Schizosaccharomyces pombe: one gene and its partners. Changing the gene in region 1 together with any one later gene gives a genetic interaction. Each region holds a gene or a part of one and is shown in the gene's direction. Other genes may lie near its edges.

Region 1 (9,466 bases):
ATTCTGTTGGTTTTACTGCGGAGATGCAGGAAAATCCTGTTGCTTCTTTATCTGGTGGTTGGAAAATGAAACTGGAGTTGGCTCGTGCCATGTTGCAGAAAGCTGATATTTTGCTTTTGGATGAACCAACAAATCATCTTGATGTTGCCAATATTGCATGGCTGGAAGCATATTTAACCTCTCAAAAGAATATTACTTGCTTGATAGTTTCTCACGACTCTTCATTTTTGGACCACGTGTGTACTGACATCATTCATTATGAAGGTGTTAAAAACCAGGCAAAAAAGCTTGGTTATTATCAAGGTAATCTTTCAGCTTTTGTCAAGGTCAAACCGGAAGCTAAATCATACTATACATTGACAGCCACAAACGAGAAGTTTGTTTTTCCACCTCCCGGTATCTTAACTGGTGTGCGCTCAAACACACGTCTCATATTAAAAATGACAAACGCTTCTTATACATATCCCAACGCGAAGAAGAAGTCATTAGATAATGTTACCGTTGGGTTATCTTTATCTTCTCGTGTTGCCATTTTAGGTCCTAACGGTGCTGGTAAATCAACGCTTATTAAAGTTCTTATCGGTGAAGTAATCCCTCAAGAAGGAAAAGTTTTCAAGCATCCCAACTTGCGTGTGGGTTACGTTGCTCAGCATGCCTTTCATCACTTGGATCAACATCTGGAAAAAACGCCAAGTCAATATATTCAATGGCGTTATGCTGGAGGACAGGACCGCGAAGTTTCAGAGAAGGAATCTCGAAAACTTACCGAAGAAGACCGTGCTCAGCTTCAGCGTGATATTACGGTCAATGGCGAACGTAGAAGAGTGGAAGCTTTGATTGGCCGTCAAAAACTAAAAAAGTCATTTCAATATGAAATTAAATGGTTTGGGAAGCCTCATAAATACAATACGTGGGTGTCTCGAGAAATATTGCTTGAAAATGGGTTTCAAAAGTTTGTACAGGCTTTTGATGATATGGAATCTTCTCGCGAAGGTCTCGGTTTCCGTGAATTGATTCCCGAAGACATCAGGGCACATTTTGAGGATGTGGGCCTTCCTGGCGACATTGCTGATTACAGCCCCATTAGTAGTTTGTCTGGCGGTCAAAAGGTTAAAGTTGTTATTGCTGCGTGTCTCTGGAATAACCCCCAGCTTTTGGTTTTGGACGAACCTACAAACTTTTTGGACAGAGATGCATTAGGTGGTTTAGCTGTTGCTATTCGTGATTGGGAAGGTGGGGTCGTTATGATTTCACATAATGAAGAATTTGTTTCTGCGTTGTGTCCTGAACACTGGCATGTAGAAGCGGGTAAGGTTACCGGTAAGGGCAAGACCGCTGTTGACGATGGAAAGTTTGAAGATCTGTCGGAGAAAGATTTGAAAAAGATTGAGGCTAAAGCTACCAAAAAGAAGAAATTGACGAGAAATGAAATCAAGGCCAAAGAAAGACGTGCTAGAGAGAGAGAATTAGCATGGTTACAATCTCCCAAGGGCACCGAAAAACCCAAATCATTCTTCTCTGATGATGAAGAATAATTTCAGACTAATTTTTTAATTCGCTCTTTGGATTGACAAGTTGAGAGTTGTTTATCCTTTAATTTTCTTTAGACGGTGCTAGTTGTTGAAGTTGGTCTTTTACATATTTACGGTTTACTGATATACCTTTTAGACTTAATTTATATATATAGAACTTGGTGGATGGTATCGTGGATAATATTAATATTAGTCGCTTTTTATATGTTTTGTTTATCGTTAGTGCATGTTATAGTTGTATTAGACGTATACACTTTTGTCATTGACTCTTGTAAAAGGTGTCAAGAGAACTATGTATTTTTTGGGTTTTTTTCTAGATATTCGTATGAAAATGTGATAGACTTTTTAATATGATTAATCAGGAAATTTCTATAAACATGCACTCAACGAAAAATAGGGTACTTAATCTTCAAGAAATAATTGGTGTAGTCTTAGTTCACCTACTCAAAGAGCCTTCAAAATAAAGGCAAAAGAACTGAACTAAGAGTTTTACTACTGATGATATAGTTCATTTAATATTAAACAGGGAAATTTTCAAACAATAGTATGGTATTGGATAAACTGTTGTACACAGGGTACAACGTCAGTACTGAATGTGGTTATTGTAAAAGTGGAAGAAAGACCGAGCATTTTGGTTTATTAGCAGAAAAGCTCAGTTGTGAAGTAAGCGTATAACTCTGCTTTTTGCAAATTTTGCTAACCTACATTTAACCTCAGGACTACCAGCGATTGATTGATTTGGGATGGAGGTAAAAACCTTTATTAGTTAACATTGCTAATATAAAATAAGACGTTCAGGACATTATTTATATAAACCCAACGGGAAAACATCTTGCTGTTCTCTTTATACAATCAGGTACTTAGCATAAGTCGCCAAATATGATTGATTACTAACCGCCGAATGTTGAAGACTCGACAGCTATAATTTTAAAATTGCAAAAGAGCAAAAGAAGGCAATAAAAAAATGGGTCAAATATGTAAATGGAAAGCCATTAAAACCTATGAAAAGCGAAATTAGCACAGATTATTTGAACAATGCCTTTCAAACTATAGAATCGCTCGGAGCTGAAAAATACTCTGTAACTATGGAGCCTTGCACTTACACCGATGAGAAATTTGAAGTCTTCAAAAAGTATCAAATGCAAGTTCATTTAGAGAAAGAAGAGGAAATCACGAAAAAAGGATTTAGCAGGTTTCTTTGCAACTCTCCTTTATTTAATGAAGACAAGGGGATAAAGTATGGTTCTTATCATCAGATGTATCGATTTCAAGGAAGGCTTGTGGCAGTTGGAGTTTTAGACTTGCTACCACATGGTGTTTCTAGCGTTTATCTGTTTTATGATCCTGATATGTCTAAGTTTTCTCTGGGAAGGATTAGTGCCTGCCGTGAAATCTGGCTTGCTCTTGAATGCGGATATCGGTACTACTACATGGGTAGGCTAAAATGTCATTTATTTAATTACGTTGATTGACCTTGCAGGTTATTATATTCACACATGTCCCAAAATGAAGTATAAGGCAACGTATAGTCCATCGTACCTGCTTAATCCCGTACGTATACATTCGATTTTAACTTGAACTAATACAAACAGGGTACAAATAAATGGATACCAATTGAAAACTTTACTTCACTTTGGAATACTGGTGCTCCTAAATATATAAGTTTCGGGGATGAAAATAATAGTGATATTCAAACTGCTGTTGACTACGATTCTTCTGAAGATTCATCTCAAAACGAAGATGATTATACACTGTTTAATCGACAGCTTCCTGGAATTCTTTCAGTAAATGTTGCTGAGTCCTTGGTTTCGGAGAATTTTGCTAACATTGGCAATTCAACTTTCCCCACAAGAGTATGTCTTTATTTTTGAGTAACAATGCTAATTCTTCAGCATGTTTTAAGTTATTTCCCTCAGGTTAAACATTGGTTTGTTGAAATCAATGCTGCTGTGGGCGAAGAAGTCGCAAAGAGTTATACACTTGTTTTATCTAGTTGATATATTATCTGTCTACGTGTTTTATTTGCTTAAGATATGAACATCCTACTTAAAAATCTTAATGAACTCCAGGATGGCTTTGAGAGTAAATTTTACAATGTGACTTACAGAATTAAGTTAATTTTATGCTACTACTTATGTGTGATAGTTTCCTCTTTTATGTCCCTTAATCGAAGTTGATAGCATTTCTAATAATATAAAATACTGCCGGCTTATATATTTATTTTGTAATTATTTATAACTGCACGCTACCTAAAATGTCACCCTAACATAACTTAGTGGGCTTTTCCGTTACGAGTTGTTTGCAACCAAACACAAAAACGGGTTTACCGGTACTTCACGACTTAATATAATCGCAAAACAGTGCATAGTAGGTGAGAAAGGATTTTATCATTTAGAGAAGAGATTTTACTTTAATTGTTCTTCTTTTTTCTTTCTCAAGTGTTACTGCTAGGTTCTCATTCTATAGAGTATTAGCAAACACCAGATTTCGATGACATTTCGTGTCAAAATTGGGTTGACTGCATTTTAAAAATAATTAATCACGGTTGGCTTACAATTCAACTTCTAGGCACTGATTTTTTCTTCGAATGCCATTTTGAAGTTATTTTACTTTTACTTTCCTAAAACAAGGTGTTGTAATAAGGGATTGTTCTTTTATCTATTTTTGTACCATTTGTATAAAGAATTCATTAATTTGCACTGTGATTTTCTTAATACAGGCTTAAATCCATTTACCGCTTCCATTTTTTCTTTGAATAAGTTACACCATTTCTCAACGATAAATACTTGTATAGAGAGGTGTATTTACTTGTTCAATTTCATTCTTTATTGAAAATCACTGATTTTGATTTGATTTTTATTGCGTTTAAGCTGTATGCTACTTGGAAGCTGCTTCTCAAGTATAATATTGCCTTTGCAACAAAGTTTTTTTATATCTCTTTTTACAGGATTTCGCATGTTTTATCTTTTTTGTTGAGGTGCTTCACTGATTCTATTTTGTACCTAAACTCGATTTTTGTGCGGATATATTATGAAGAAGTATTTGTGGGGTACTCCAACTACGAATACCGTATTTACAGGCAAGCAACCAAAGTATACCAAGGAGGTTCGCAAATGCATTTCAATTGATGAAGTATATAATGTTGTGCGAAAGGTTGGAGATGGCACCTTCGGTTCAGTTTACCTTGCAACTACTAAAACTCCTTCTAAAGAAGTAGTAGCTATAAAAAGTATGAAGAAAAAGCTGGCTAAGGTTTCTGATGCTACCAGATTGCGCGAGGTACATTCTTTGTTGAGACTTTCCGAAAATGAAAATATAGTTAATATTTTCGATTTATATATAGATCAATTTCGATGTTTACATATTGTAATGGAGTTTCTCGATTGCAATTTGTACCAGCTAATAAGTACTAGAAAGAACGACCCTTTGACTCTTGAGCAAGTTCAAGATATTATGCGTCAAATATTCAAAGGCCTCAATCATATTCATACAAATGGTTTTTTCCACAGAGACATGAAACCAGAAAATATTTTAATTTCTTCAAATAGTGACTCTTCTTCTTTCAATGTTAAGATTGCAGATTTTGGTCTTGCTCGTGAAATTAATTCGCGGCCTCCATATACCGAATACGTATCCACTCGTTGGTATCGTGCACCTGAACTATTATTACGGGACTCTTATTATTCGTTTCCGGTCGACATATATGCTGCTGGATGCATGGCATTTGAAATTGCTACACTTCAACCAATTTTTCCTGGAAATGATGATTTCGACCAATTATATAAAATGTGTGAAATACTTGGAAGCCCTGATGAGCAATCTCAGAATACTGGAGATAAGGGAGGTGGTATCTGGGATCGAGCTGAACTATTAGCTAATAAGCTAGGTATTTCTCTACCCAAAATGGCTCCGCTCGACTTTGGAGACTTATTTTCCCCACCATGGAATTTAGCTTTTGCTTCAATGTTGTCCCAATTGTTAAAGTGGGATCCAGCCAAACGACCTACTGCAGAAATGTGCCTTGATTTAGAATTTTGTCGAGTTTCCGCACCGGCTGATGCAGTTGCCAGTAAAGAGGAAGTCAATAAAAACACTGATTTTCGTGTTTCAATATCATATTTCCCTTCGTCTAGTTCCATTCCAGATGAATGTAACACTGAGGAAGAATCTAGGATCAATCCTTCAACTTCAAAGTTTCTTAAACAGCTGAATAAAGGTTTCAATGGGTTTACTAAACCGTTTCGTAAGTCAAGAAAACAATCAAAGAACCGTAAAAATAAGTCTTCAGTGGCTACTCAGTTTTCTGAAGAGTCAGAAGATATTGCTGATAGTATCACCTCTTCAACATTTTTTCCCGTTTTACCCCAAATACGCCCATCTACTCCTTTGAATCTCAAGTTACGAAACTTCATTATTTCATCTTCTGAAGATTCTACTTCCCCCAAAGCGAAGGAATTTGACCGTCCTTTGCCTTCAACCGAATTTCTTGTTGCTATAAATAAAAGTCAAGAAGCTTTGTTGAATAACTCTCCTAACTCCAAGTCTGGTAGTACGCAACTTTCTGCTTCTACGTGTTTAAGTGATTTAATTTCCCCTCAGCTATCGATTCTATCTCACGAAGATAAGCGCGAAAATCAATCTGTAAACAGTGAATCCTCTAAATACAGTCCCCGGTCATCTAATCATTCACCGACACTTCACAGCAAAGATTTGCACCGTGATATGGCTACTGTGAACAATTATGCCAAGTCTCCACCTTCTTTCCATGCTACGCAGGACCTTCTTCGTAAAACATTAGCCTATACAAATTCAAGTGGTACATCAACAGTCTTATCTAATGACTCTTCAGCTATTTCCTCAACGTTTTTGGACAGAGATTTTCCAGATTTTGGTATCACATCGTTAGCTGGTAGTCTAACACTTCCCGACTCGAAAATTATCGATCGCTCTAAAACACACGTTTCGACACAATTGCTTCCCTAGCTCATAACACTTTTACTTTTGATTATTCCACTAATCTTTTCTTTTCCTTTTATTTCTCCATGTTTTGCCGACCTTTCTTTCTTTTTATTTCCCCTTAATTCCTTGGTCTCTTCCCTGAATTACGCTCTTTTGTCAACTACTTTATTTATTTCACTTCCAAATTTACTATTTTGAGAAGCAAATTTTACATGTTTTTTGTTTTAGCATCACCTTTTCTTTTCTTATTTTTTTTTCTTTTTCGTTTATTTTGTTTATCTTTCTTTCCGGAATTTTGTTCGCCTTAATTTAGCATTTTTTGTAGTCTAGGTAACGCTAAATGATGACATTACCTTACATATTTTTAAATACATGTATATAACTGCAATGATGAAAGCTGCTTTTGATTTTCTATTTAAGTGATAATCGTAAAATTGTAGTAGTTGTTTTTTACTTAATTTTTTATATTTGCAACACAGTAGCACAGAGATGCAATACCAAAGCTATTTGTAAGGGGAGAAAGAAAAGAATAAACACTCGATACTATGTTTATTTTTATGAATATAAAATGGTAGTTTTTACTTGAAGAAATAACTGCTAAATGTACTGTGTGCTTTTATCTCTTACATATACACATGTAAGCTAGTAAATATACAATTCGCTTGTTTGAGTAGGTTAATTTATATGACGCAATATTCCCGAGTAGCTGGATACCACGTCTCAGAGAAGCATTTCGTCAATAACCAAGAATTACCACATGTAATTATTGAGGAAACCGTGAGGCGTTTATCTTACTTTTTCCAATTACGAATTGCCCGAGATAACTTTTTATAAGAAAAGCGAGGTTTCATAATAACTACTTGCAAAGACCAAGCAAGCGTACGATTTCATGAATTTTAAGTAGTTGACAACTACTGCTTTTTGAGTTACATTTTCCCAGGAAGTTCATTATTAAATAACTGTTATTTCTTTTCTTTATATCAAGTTGTACATTTGGCAGATTTTTTTTGCCTTATTTAACGATTTCTCAGGAATATACTATTAACGAACAATTTTTGTAAACCAGGAATTATAAAAAGTTTACAATGAGTGAAAACGTTTACCTTAACGAAGCGCTGAATGTAGTAGATCAATGCTTTAAAACTTTTTTTGATAAGTACACTGATAGAATGGGTAGCGCCTTTGCCTGTTCAGGCACTATTGACAAAGATCATATCTTTCTTGTTTGGTCCGTGGCTGTATATGCAGAAGCAATGGCAGACAGTTTAAGATACACCAGCAAGTTTGAGCGGAAATTCGAACATGTGTTCCAAGCTTTGAAGAAATATTGGTCCCCCGTTTTTAATGCCTGTTGTGCTTTTCACTATTTTGAAGGAAATGACGACGTATATTATGATGACAATGCACAGGTAGCTATTGGCTTGGCTACGGCTGGCTATTATACTACAAACAGTTCACGTCGCGATCATTATGTTAGTCGAGCAGAAAGTATAATTTCGCTTATTATCAACAAAGGTTGGAATCAGCAACGTGGAGGTATTGCTTGGCATACCCGTACTACTGGTCCACCATGGACTAATCTAAATGCCTGCTCTACTTCTATGTCTGCAGTTGCTGCTTTGCGACTTGCTCTGGCGTTGGACGATCCTAACAAAAAGCAACATCTTGTTTCGTTTGCTTGGAATTGTGTTCGATGGATTCAGGAAAACTTGCTTGATGAAAATCATATTGTTTGTGACGGTCTTAGTTTGAAAGACGGAAAATGGGTCTTAGATAAGGCACGCTTTACTTATAACACTGGTACCACTATGACAGCCATGTCTTTATTGATGGGTCTAGGTGAATTCACTAAAGGATTGCAAGATATTGAAAAGCTTCCGACGTACTTAGAGGATATGGCTAGAGGTGCTTTGGACACCAATGGCCCATTGTATGATCAATCATGTAATGGAAGCTTTAAAGTATGGTCTGATAATACCTTTTTTGCTCAGCATCTTTCCGAAGGTTTAATGACATTTTCTTATGCAATGCCATCATCTGCGTTGGCAAAACCTGCTCAAAAAATGGTTTTAGATCAAGCCGACTTTCTCATGAAATATTTACGTATTCCAAAGGAAGGTCTATATTATCGCAACTTTGGTCTTTACAAGTTGAGTCCCGAATTGACAGCCTCGTTCAATAAGTTTTTCAATGCAAACAAGCAATTTCAACCAGATAAAGATGAACGCATTCAACAAGAAGGACCAGTGGAACAAAGACCTTTGTGTCCTACACTGATTGGAAGTGCTGGTGCTGCTAGAATGCTGTTTTCTGCTGCAGAAATTGTTAACCGAAATAACCCGAGTTCAGGTGAGTCGACAACTCTTCCTCAACCTAGCCATGGTAAAAAAGATAAAGATTGTGTGATCTCTTGAGCAACCGTTCAAATTGCTTATAATATTTTATCAGGTAAATTATTCCCCTTTAACGCGTCTTTTATTTATGTTGAATAAATGAATTTCAAATGAATTGCTTTAAAATTTTGCATAGTTATTAAGAATAAGCAGTATAACACGACTTTCTAATTAAAACCCTTGTTGTTTATATATTTTAATGAGAATTTATGTCTATAACAAACATCATTGCCACTTTTTTTTACCTAAATAAGCGAGTTTACATGATTAGTCTACTAATCTCTTTATACTTTTCACTGACGTTCTTGTTCAATAGAAGATAAAAAAAATCATTATCTATTTACTATAACTGTAACGTATTCCACGTTTAATTCAGCAAATAACCTGTGCTATGAAATCGAAGCCCATTAACAGAATTCGTTCTGATGACTGCAATGGTAACTTACAACATTTAAAAGCTTGTTTTGATATGATTGAAATATTAAAACTAATGGGAAGTGGAATCTGTAATATGTGCAATTCATTTCAGCCAGCAAAACGTATTAGCGCATACAGAAATCATGATTAAGCATAAAATAATAA
Region 2 (2,623 bases), 440 kb from region 1:
CGCCTGTTAGCTATTGAAGCAACATAAGCACAACAACTGCTTCCATTGCCATCTGTTCGATATATTTCCTCGGAAAATAATGAAAGTAAGAGTCGGAGGACTTCGACACGGTGAAGTTCGTACGAGCGCTCTTTCAACATTGTGGGATGATAAACTACCCCAGTTTCCCAAATACAGTAGTGAACTCCATGGGTAAGATCATTATGAGCAGGGATGGTAAAATTGATTAGGAACAGATAATCTACAACGGTGTTTAAAAAGCTTGCTCCTCGGGGTGTATTGATGTTCGGATCCTTTGGAACTGTCCACGCAAAATAGTCAAACCATTCTAACATTGACTTATCCTCAAATATAATTGGCATAAGCCTTGTCAAAAGTCGCATACAATTTAACGCGCATTTTGTAGTGGGAGCGGCGGGGTCATCAAACAATGTTTCTTTTTGTAGATCTTCTAATTTGTCCCAGAGTACAGCAATAATAGTTTGCAAATTTTCTGGAGCGTTGTCTTTAACTTTTGTCAAATCATCGATAGACATCAAATGAAACACGTCTTCGGTTGTTTCTGGAAGCGTCCAAAGCTAAAGATTATTAGTTAGCAAAAATATTCACGAATAAAGATCACACTTACACGCTCCCATATAAGGTCAAATTTTGGAATGTTCTGAATTGGTTAGTACACTTGAAATTTTCAATTATTTATGATTATATTCAAATTGAATTCACATTCATTAGCAGAGAATCCTAAGAATTGAACTTCGTATTCTCTGGCATTCACTGAATTATGAAACCAACCAAAAGAAAAATATTACCTACCCTTTCTTCGTGTAGTCGTAAAACCGCGTTCCTAAAGTCTAACCTGTAATTTGGTTAATAATGTATTGGTTCTTCCCCAAACCTACGGCAGGTTGAGAAATTGGACAAAAAAATAAACATACTTAGACTGTTGAGAACCCATCGAATGTGAAGGTGAAAAGTATGCATACAATCAAAGTGACACAGAGAGTGAACTGAAAAAAAAAACGATGAAAAATCTATGATTGCGAAATTTGTAAAGAGGGGAAAATGGTTGAGAGAGGGAGGAAACCAGGAAACAAGGTGATTATCTTATAGCCCAACGAAAACAATCGTCGGTTTCAGCGAAAAAAAGTACGAAAATACTCTTGTGAAGGATTTGGCTGAAGCAAAAAAGTTCTTCAAATTCAGTTTGCAAAGCACTTTTTGATAAAACTCAAATGACTTATGGAAGAGAGAAATACTAGTTAAGTACTTTTGAATAACGTTCCAGCACTAGTTTTCCCCCTCTTTAGTTTTTATAAACTAAACTTTCAAGCAAAGATGCAGCATAGGAAAACTGTAGATATCCGACCTTGAATTTTGTGAGACTCGTAGGTAGAAAAGAGAAGCCTATTGTGTCGCCCAGCGGGCTTAAAGACTAGGAGACTCAGAGGATTTAAAATTAAAGGATAGAAAAGATATTGAAAATGTAGTACTCCAAATCTTTTCAAATTCGCACTTTGAAGCCGCGATGATAAAATCTCGCAAAATTCTTAACGTGGTCGAAAATGACGAAAAAGCGAATGAGAATAAACGAACTGCAATTAAAATCCTATTCGATTTTAATTTTTCAATACTATAACAAGGATTACACTCAAAAAACACACTGCTACTACGTTCAGTAAAATTGGTGTTGTTTTCATGTAAGATTGCACCTTGCTTAAAAAACCGAAGGCATGACCCCATGTAAGGACTTGCCCCAGGTAACGTAATATCGACTGAATGCTACACCAAATTTTAAGACGGTAAGAAGCATTATGAAAATATGACATGCAATCATGAAAACCCGTATATAACTCACCACGGCAAAGTGCATCTTATAACTTCATAGAATTCACAGTCAATGAAATTTCTCTAATTTTTCCTTTAGCCATTTTTTGTTTAAAATTGATTCATATTCCAAGACATTTTTGCTCAGCTGTTATTGTGTTTCCATTTACAGGCTCGAAGAATGCTCGGGAAGGTTTAAACCATCTTCGTATTCATTACATCTTTTGAAATCACTATCAATCATTATCTGTGAAAATCCTAGTCAAACCTTCAATATTGGATTAAATCAACCGAAATGATTTTTACTCCCATTAAAATATCCAATACATTCGAGACAAACATGGTGAAAATAAATCGCTCATCTAATTAATTGAGTATCGCTTAATGTATCAAGTTGCAACACCGATCAATTGTTATTTTCTTAGTTCATGTTGGCAAGGCGGAACTTCTCTGTTGATCGATTTACATTCCGACTTTCCGTACGTGCGTGTTGTGCTGCTATTACGGTAGTAACAACGAGACTCGGAGCGATCGCTAGTAGTACTAACAGTAATTTTTGAACAAATCAGATATGAAGCAAAAGCGGCGGTAATTTCACTGAAGGAGCCAGGTGTTCTTGAGTCCGTGACTCAGATTACAGATATAGTCTTAAGTTTATTAATTTGAGGTTTATCATCTTCCAATGGTGAACGCCCACATCCTTTCCTTCTTTTGTCCTGAGCCAGCTTAAGCTTAAATTAAGCTGTAAGTGAATTTTCCGTTGGCAAAAGTTACATACATCAATTTCAGCCACAGTGAA
Region 3 (4,746 bases), 2.5 Mb from region 1:
AGTCCAGTGGACAATAGTTGGTGTGTTTTGGTATGCACCAGGAGCATTTGCAGGCAAGATACCTATAATACCAATAACTCGTTCTTTGTCAATGCGGGCCATATAAAAATGTTTAAGATTCTCTTCAGCCAAGCAGCCGTCAGGTTGATTGTCTTCAGTGCTAATCTTTGCATACACATTTCTACAGGGAAATTCAATCAACGTCAAAAAGACAGCGCTAACCAATATTAATAAAACAAAAGTTCGTAATTTTGTATTTCCTTCTACCATGTTTGTTAAGCGATATATCCCCATAAACACCAAACCAAAAACCGCAAGATACAACGGGTGCCAAAAGATTTTTTGAGAGAGATTTCTCGATTGACCGTTCAACGCATTCATGGCAATCGATCGAATACTCGACAGCTCCGCAAGGGTGGGACGACGAATATCAATTCTTTTACGTTGCACATTCGACATTTTTATGTAATTAAATATTCTTTTTTGCTAATCTTTTTAAAATTTATTGTCACAATATTTCTTTTACAATTACCTTCTACTGTGAAATTTAAGAAGATGGAGGTTCGTAAGTGGAGTAGGTAAGAATGAAGCCATTATACCACCATAGATTTACCCAACCCTTGGTTGTTTCAGTCAATTTTTGCGAATTGTAATTTCATACAACTAGAATTTGATCAAATCTACCCTCTTATTAAATGATTGAGATTATTGATTCTATTGATAAATCACATTTAGGGTCAACTAGCTTTTAAAATGTTTTTAGGAATAGAAAAGAATATTGTGACGATCGAAGTAACATTTCTAGCTGAAATAACAATTGGATTTATAAGCTATATCTTCAGTTACTAAATAATTAGTTTCTACAATTTTTTTAGGCTTGAATATTAAATCTTTAAATAATTCCTAGGATAAAAAGAGTATAATGTATACATAGGAACAGAATATACATTTAAAAAAAATGGCAATTGAGTAGAGAAATAGGGAAGGTAATAATGCATCGATTAGATTGCATAACAAACTTTACATGAATCCGAAAACCAAGGATAGGAAATCCATTTACAGTATTTTTCACTATATAAATTAAAGCTTCATAGATTACACTACTTTCAGCGTGCCTATTTTGACCAAGAGTGAAAATATACTACACTCACAAAACGTATAAATGCTGAATTTTCACTTCTTGCAAGTTACAAATATTGCAAATTTCACCGTTTTCGAAATTCTTGTATAATAGGGCCTTACTAACTAGCTCATAACATTATAAAGCTATAACACAACGATAAGTTTTTTGAGTGATCAAAATTATTTTACACAGTTAATTTGCCAATGATTTGGTTATATTAAGAATTATAGATACTAAATAGTATTACACTTTACGAATAACTTAAAAACTATACTAAAGAAAGAAGTTCCATTGCATTATCCTTATTCTTAAATAGCTTTTGAATATAAAAAAGCAATGAAGAGTACCCAAGGGGACAGAAACGTAAATAATTCCTGACACGTAGTATATAGTGATGGTTAACGGGATACAATATAATCGTGCAAAGTGCTAATAAAGTTTTGTTTCAAAGCAATGCAGTATGTATCTGCTATATTTTAACGCAAGTTTAAAGAGTTCTTTATTTGAACTATTTAATGAGTTTTAAAAAATGTGATTGATCCAAATATTGCAAAGAATAGTGTATTGAAATATTTACCTCAAGCAGCTTCAATAAATGTTAAAATGAAACACATACCCTTTTATTAACGTAAATTGGGTTTGTTCTTTAATTAGCGTTATTTATGTCGCTTTCATATTATAAGTGACACGCTACTCCTTTAGAAGATTTCAACAAACTGTACGGTCGAGCTAGTCGGTTAAGAACATTTTACGATTTTGCAGGAAATTCAGTCTTCTGCATAAGTTTTAATTATAAATTAATTTGTTCGAATGCGATTTCGTATACTCCTATTTTAATTCTCATTGATTAATAAAAGAGAAAGCAGTAGCTTAAAAATCGCTCTTCTTACTAGATTCACTAATTTAAATACATTTCTTAATTGTCTTTTACGACTTCATTGAATAGAAACTTCTCAGTACTTGAGGTCGTTACCATTTGGATTGTTTCAGCAGAACTTTCACTTCTTATCCTTTACCTAACTATATTATGCAAACGATGTCTTCTGGAATTGCCCGTCCGGTTCTGTTTTTAACTGCTCGCGAGGGAGAATATGTTTTGAAGGATGAATTTCAATTAGGCAGTTCATCACGTTCTACTCCTCAAATTACCGGTTCACCTTTAGATCCAAACACGCCTGTAAAACGTCTGTTCTTTATGCGGATAAATATTGCTCAATTCTCCCGTTGGGATTACCCCTATCCACGAGAATATATTGAAGAACTTAAGAAAATTCATGGCGTTCATCATGTTGAAGAGAATAGAGATGTCCCCTCAATTCTTGAAAATTATCGCAATAGTAAACGAAAGTCCCACAACTTTTCTTCCTCTAACACTCCTTATTTGAAGCTTCACAGACCGGCCTCTCGTGCTGGTGCTCCTTTAATCAATGCTAAATCCTTTATCTCCTCCCTTACATTTCATGACAACATAGTACGTTCTTTTCAGCCTTCTATTCATGGTAAAACCTTTGTGTTTGCTAATCACGAAAAATCGTTTTATTGGCTTGATGTGAGTGCTGCTAATTCCCATTCTGCCTTACTCAAAATGGAATTTCCAAGGGCATCACCTGTTTGCCATGATATAAATTCCTTTACTAAAAGTCCCAAGGGCTTGGACGTAATAATTGGGTTTGATACAGGCGACGTACTTTGGTATGATCCTATTAATTTCAAGTATTTACGCTTTAACAAAAATGGACAGCTGAATAGCTCCTCTGTTACCGCTATAAAGTGGGTTGCTGGCAAAGATTCTCAATTTTTGGTATCTTTTCGCAATGGTTGGCTTGTGCTTTATGACAAATATCGTCACGAGCAACCACTCCATATTGTGGTACCGGAAAAAAACCTAAAATCTTTATATCTTAGTTCTCCAGGAACCTTTAATATTCTCATAAGTATTAATCACCGAGATGACCGTAAACTCAATCCGGTTGCTTGCTATGCATTTTCAAAATCACCGATTAACGGCTTTTGTTTCAGTCCCGATTATCAATACCTGGCACTCGTCTCTGAGAGAGGAACATTGAAGCTTTTTGATTTTGTGAAGGAACACGTCCTTGATGTTTTTCATAGTTACTTTGCTGGGTTAACCTGTGTCACCTGGTCTCCAGATGGTAAATTTATCGCTATAGGAGGTAAAGATGATCTGGTTTCAATATACTCCTTTCCTTTACGAAAGTTAGTAGCTCGCTGTCAAGGCCATAAATCTTGGGTCACCGATGTGATATTTGATGCTTGGAGATGTGATGATGATAATTATAGAATAGCTAGTGTAGGACTCGACAGAAAACTACTACTCTGGGATTTCAGTGTGAGCGCTATTCATAGACCCAAGTCTGCAGTTTATTATGTGAATCATCATTCTAATAATTCTAAACCAGCTATAAGTGATTTTGATGATGTCGGTGATTTAACAATGGGATCAGAAATTGACAATTCAAATTATGTGAACGGCGATATTACTATCCATCCTACATTATCTCGTTCTTTAATACCTGTTATATCACCTATTACCATTTACGATGTCGATGATAGTCCTCTCAGTTCCGTCTTCTTTGATCCTGACTGTATGATAACATGTGCTACAAACGGAAGAATTCGAACATGGCAACGTCCATAAACACACATTAGATGCCTTAAGTTTTTGGTTCATTGTTTTCTCAATATTATAGTACTTACTGTATAACTATGTTTTTTTTTCTTTTTTCAAATACTGACGTTTGGTTAACAGTGATTATAGCTCTTTTGCTACTAATCTTAAATCTGTATATTTAAATTTTAATTTGTGTTTTGAGTAACACTTTTCAATTTTTCAGTTGGTGTGCTAGCTCATGCTTTTTCCCTTACATATTCAAGTCTTCTCTTTGTTTTGCAAAAACAATTATTAAAGATATGCAAAGTTCATTAACAGACTGTAAGAGAAGAGTTATTCATTTCAGAGCCCAAACTATAAAGTATTAGTTATATTGTCAATAGATGTTATCGTTAAAGCCCTTCTTATTCCCAATATGACAAATCTTAATGAAGCTATCCAATTTTAATGTTATTTGTAATTTTTAGTATAGTATGTATTTATGATCTATTTTTTCTTTCACCCTACTAAAGAATTGCGCTTTTATATTTTTTAATATTCGTTGTATCCTCCTACCCCAACTCTAGAAAGTCCAAAGAAGGTAGTTTCGTACATGTCTTCTACTAAGAAAGACATAAAAGTTTATGTCAACTATCGTGACGAGTATGCAGAGCCAAAAATCATATCTGCGTTGAAGAATAGTGGAAAAGAGTTAACTTTTACAAATTCAGCGAAGGAAGCAAATTTTCAATGGGCACAGTACGAAGATATCGACTTTGACGAAGTTTACAAGAACCCAAAAACAAAACTTTGCTGCTCTTATGTGATTCGCAAGGCTTTAATCAGGAAAGAATACCTCTGGCGTACTGTCATAACGTACCTGGCAAAACATCCGGATTCAATATTGTCTAAATCGGTGCCTGAAGCCTATTCTTTGGAATTAGACTATGCAGAATTCCTTGATGATTCATTAATGGAAGCTTATGAACTTCGTCAAGAACTGGAGGAAAAT

What was found. A genetic interaction does not mean that the proteins touch.
Region 2: mutations in pit1 (region 1) and SPOM_SPAP27G11.11C together harm fitness more than expected from each alone (negative genetic interaction), as found in Schizosaccharomyces pombe (one large-scale study listed by BioGRID).
Region 3: mutations in pit1 (region 1) and bun62 together harm fitness more than expected from each alone (negative genetic interaction), as found in Schizosaccharomyces pombe (one large-scale study listed by BioGRID).

The regions. Positions count from the first base shown.
Region 1 is NC_003424.3:2,071,343-2,080,808, reverse strand, and holds pit1 (serine/threonine protein kinase Pit1), read left to right. Parts: upstream 1-3,875; 5' UTR 3,876-4,562; coding exon 4,563-6,515; 3' UTR 6,516-6,903; downstream 6,904-9,466. Other genes in the region: AAA family ATPase Elf1, read left to right, coding at 1-1,535; ate1 (arginine-tRNA--protein transferase), read left to right, coding at 2,079-2,195, 2,250-2,281, 2,323-2,388, 2,443-2,966, 3,013-3,083, 3,125-3,385, 3,425-3,529; mug191 (alpha-1,6-mannanase), read left to right, coding at 7,577-8,905.
Region 2 is NC_003424.3:1,630,400-1,633,022, reverse strand, and holds SPOM_SPAP27G11.11C (uncharacterized protein), read left to right. Parts: upstream 1-1,819; coding exon 1,820-1,842; exon of another isoform or gene 1,843-1,894; intron 1,895-1,924; coding exon 1,925-2,123; downstream 2,124-2,623. Other genes in the region: SPOM_SPAP27G11.12 (uncharacterized protein), read right to left, coding at 1-578, 629-661, 814-856, 936-955; SPOM_SPAP27G11.16 (uncharacterized protein), read right to left, coding at 1,426-1,740.
Region 3 is NC_003424.3:4,576,477-4,581,222, forward strand, and holds bun62 (WD repeat-containing protein), read left to right. Parts: upstream 1-1,833; 5' UTR 1,834-2,150; coding exon 2,151-3,782; 3' UTR 3,783-4,246; downstream 4,247-4,746. Other genes in the region: acetylase Sdg1, read right to left, coding at 1-459; pby1 (tubulin-tyrosine ligase), read left to right, coding at 4,348-4,746. UniProt on the Schizosaccharomyces pombe protein: Required for the ubp9 recruitment to septa and cell tips but also for its enzymatic activity at these specific locations.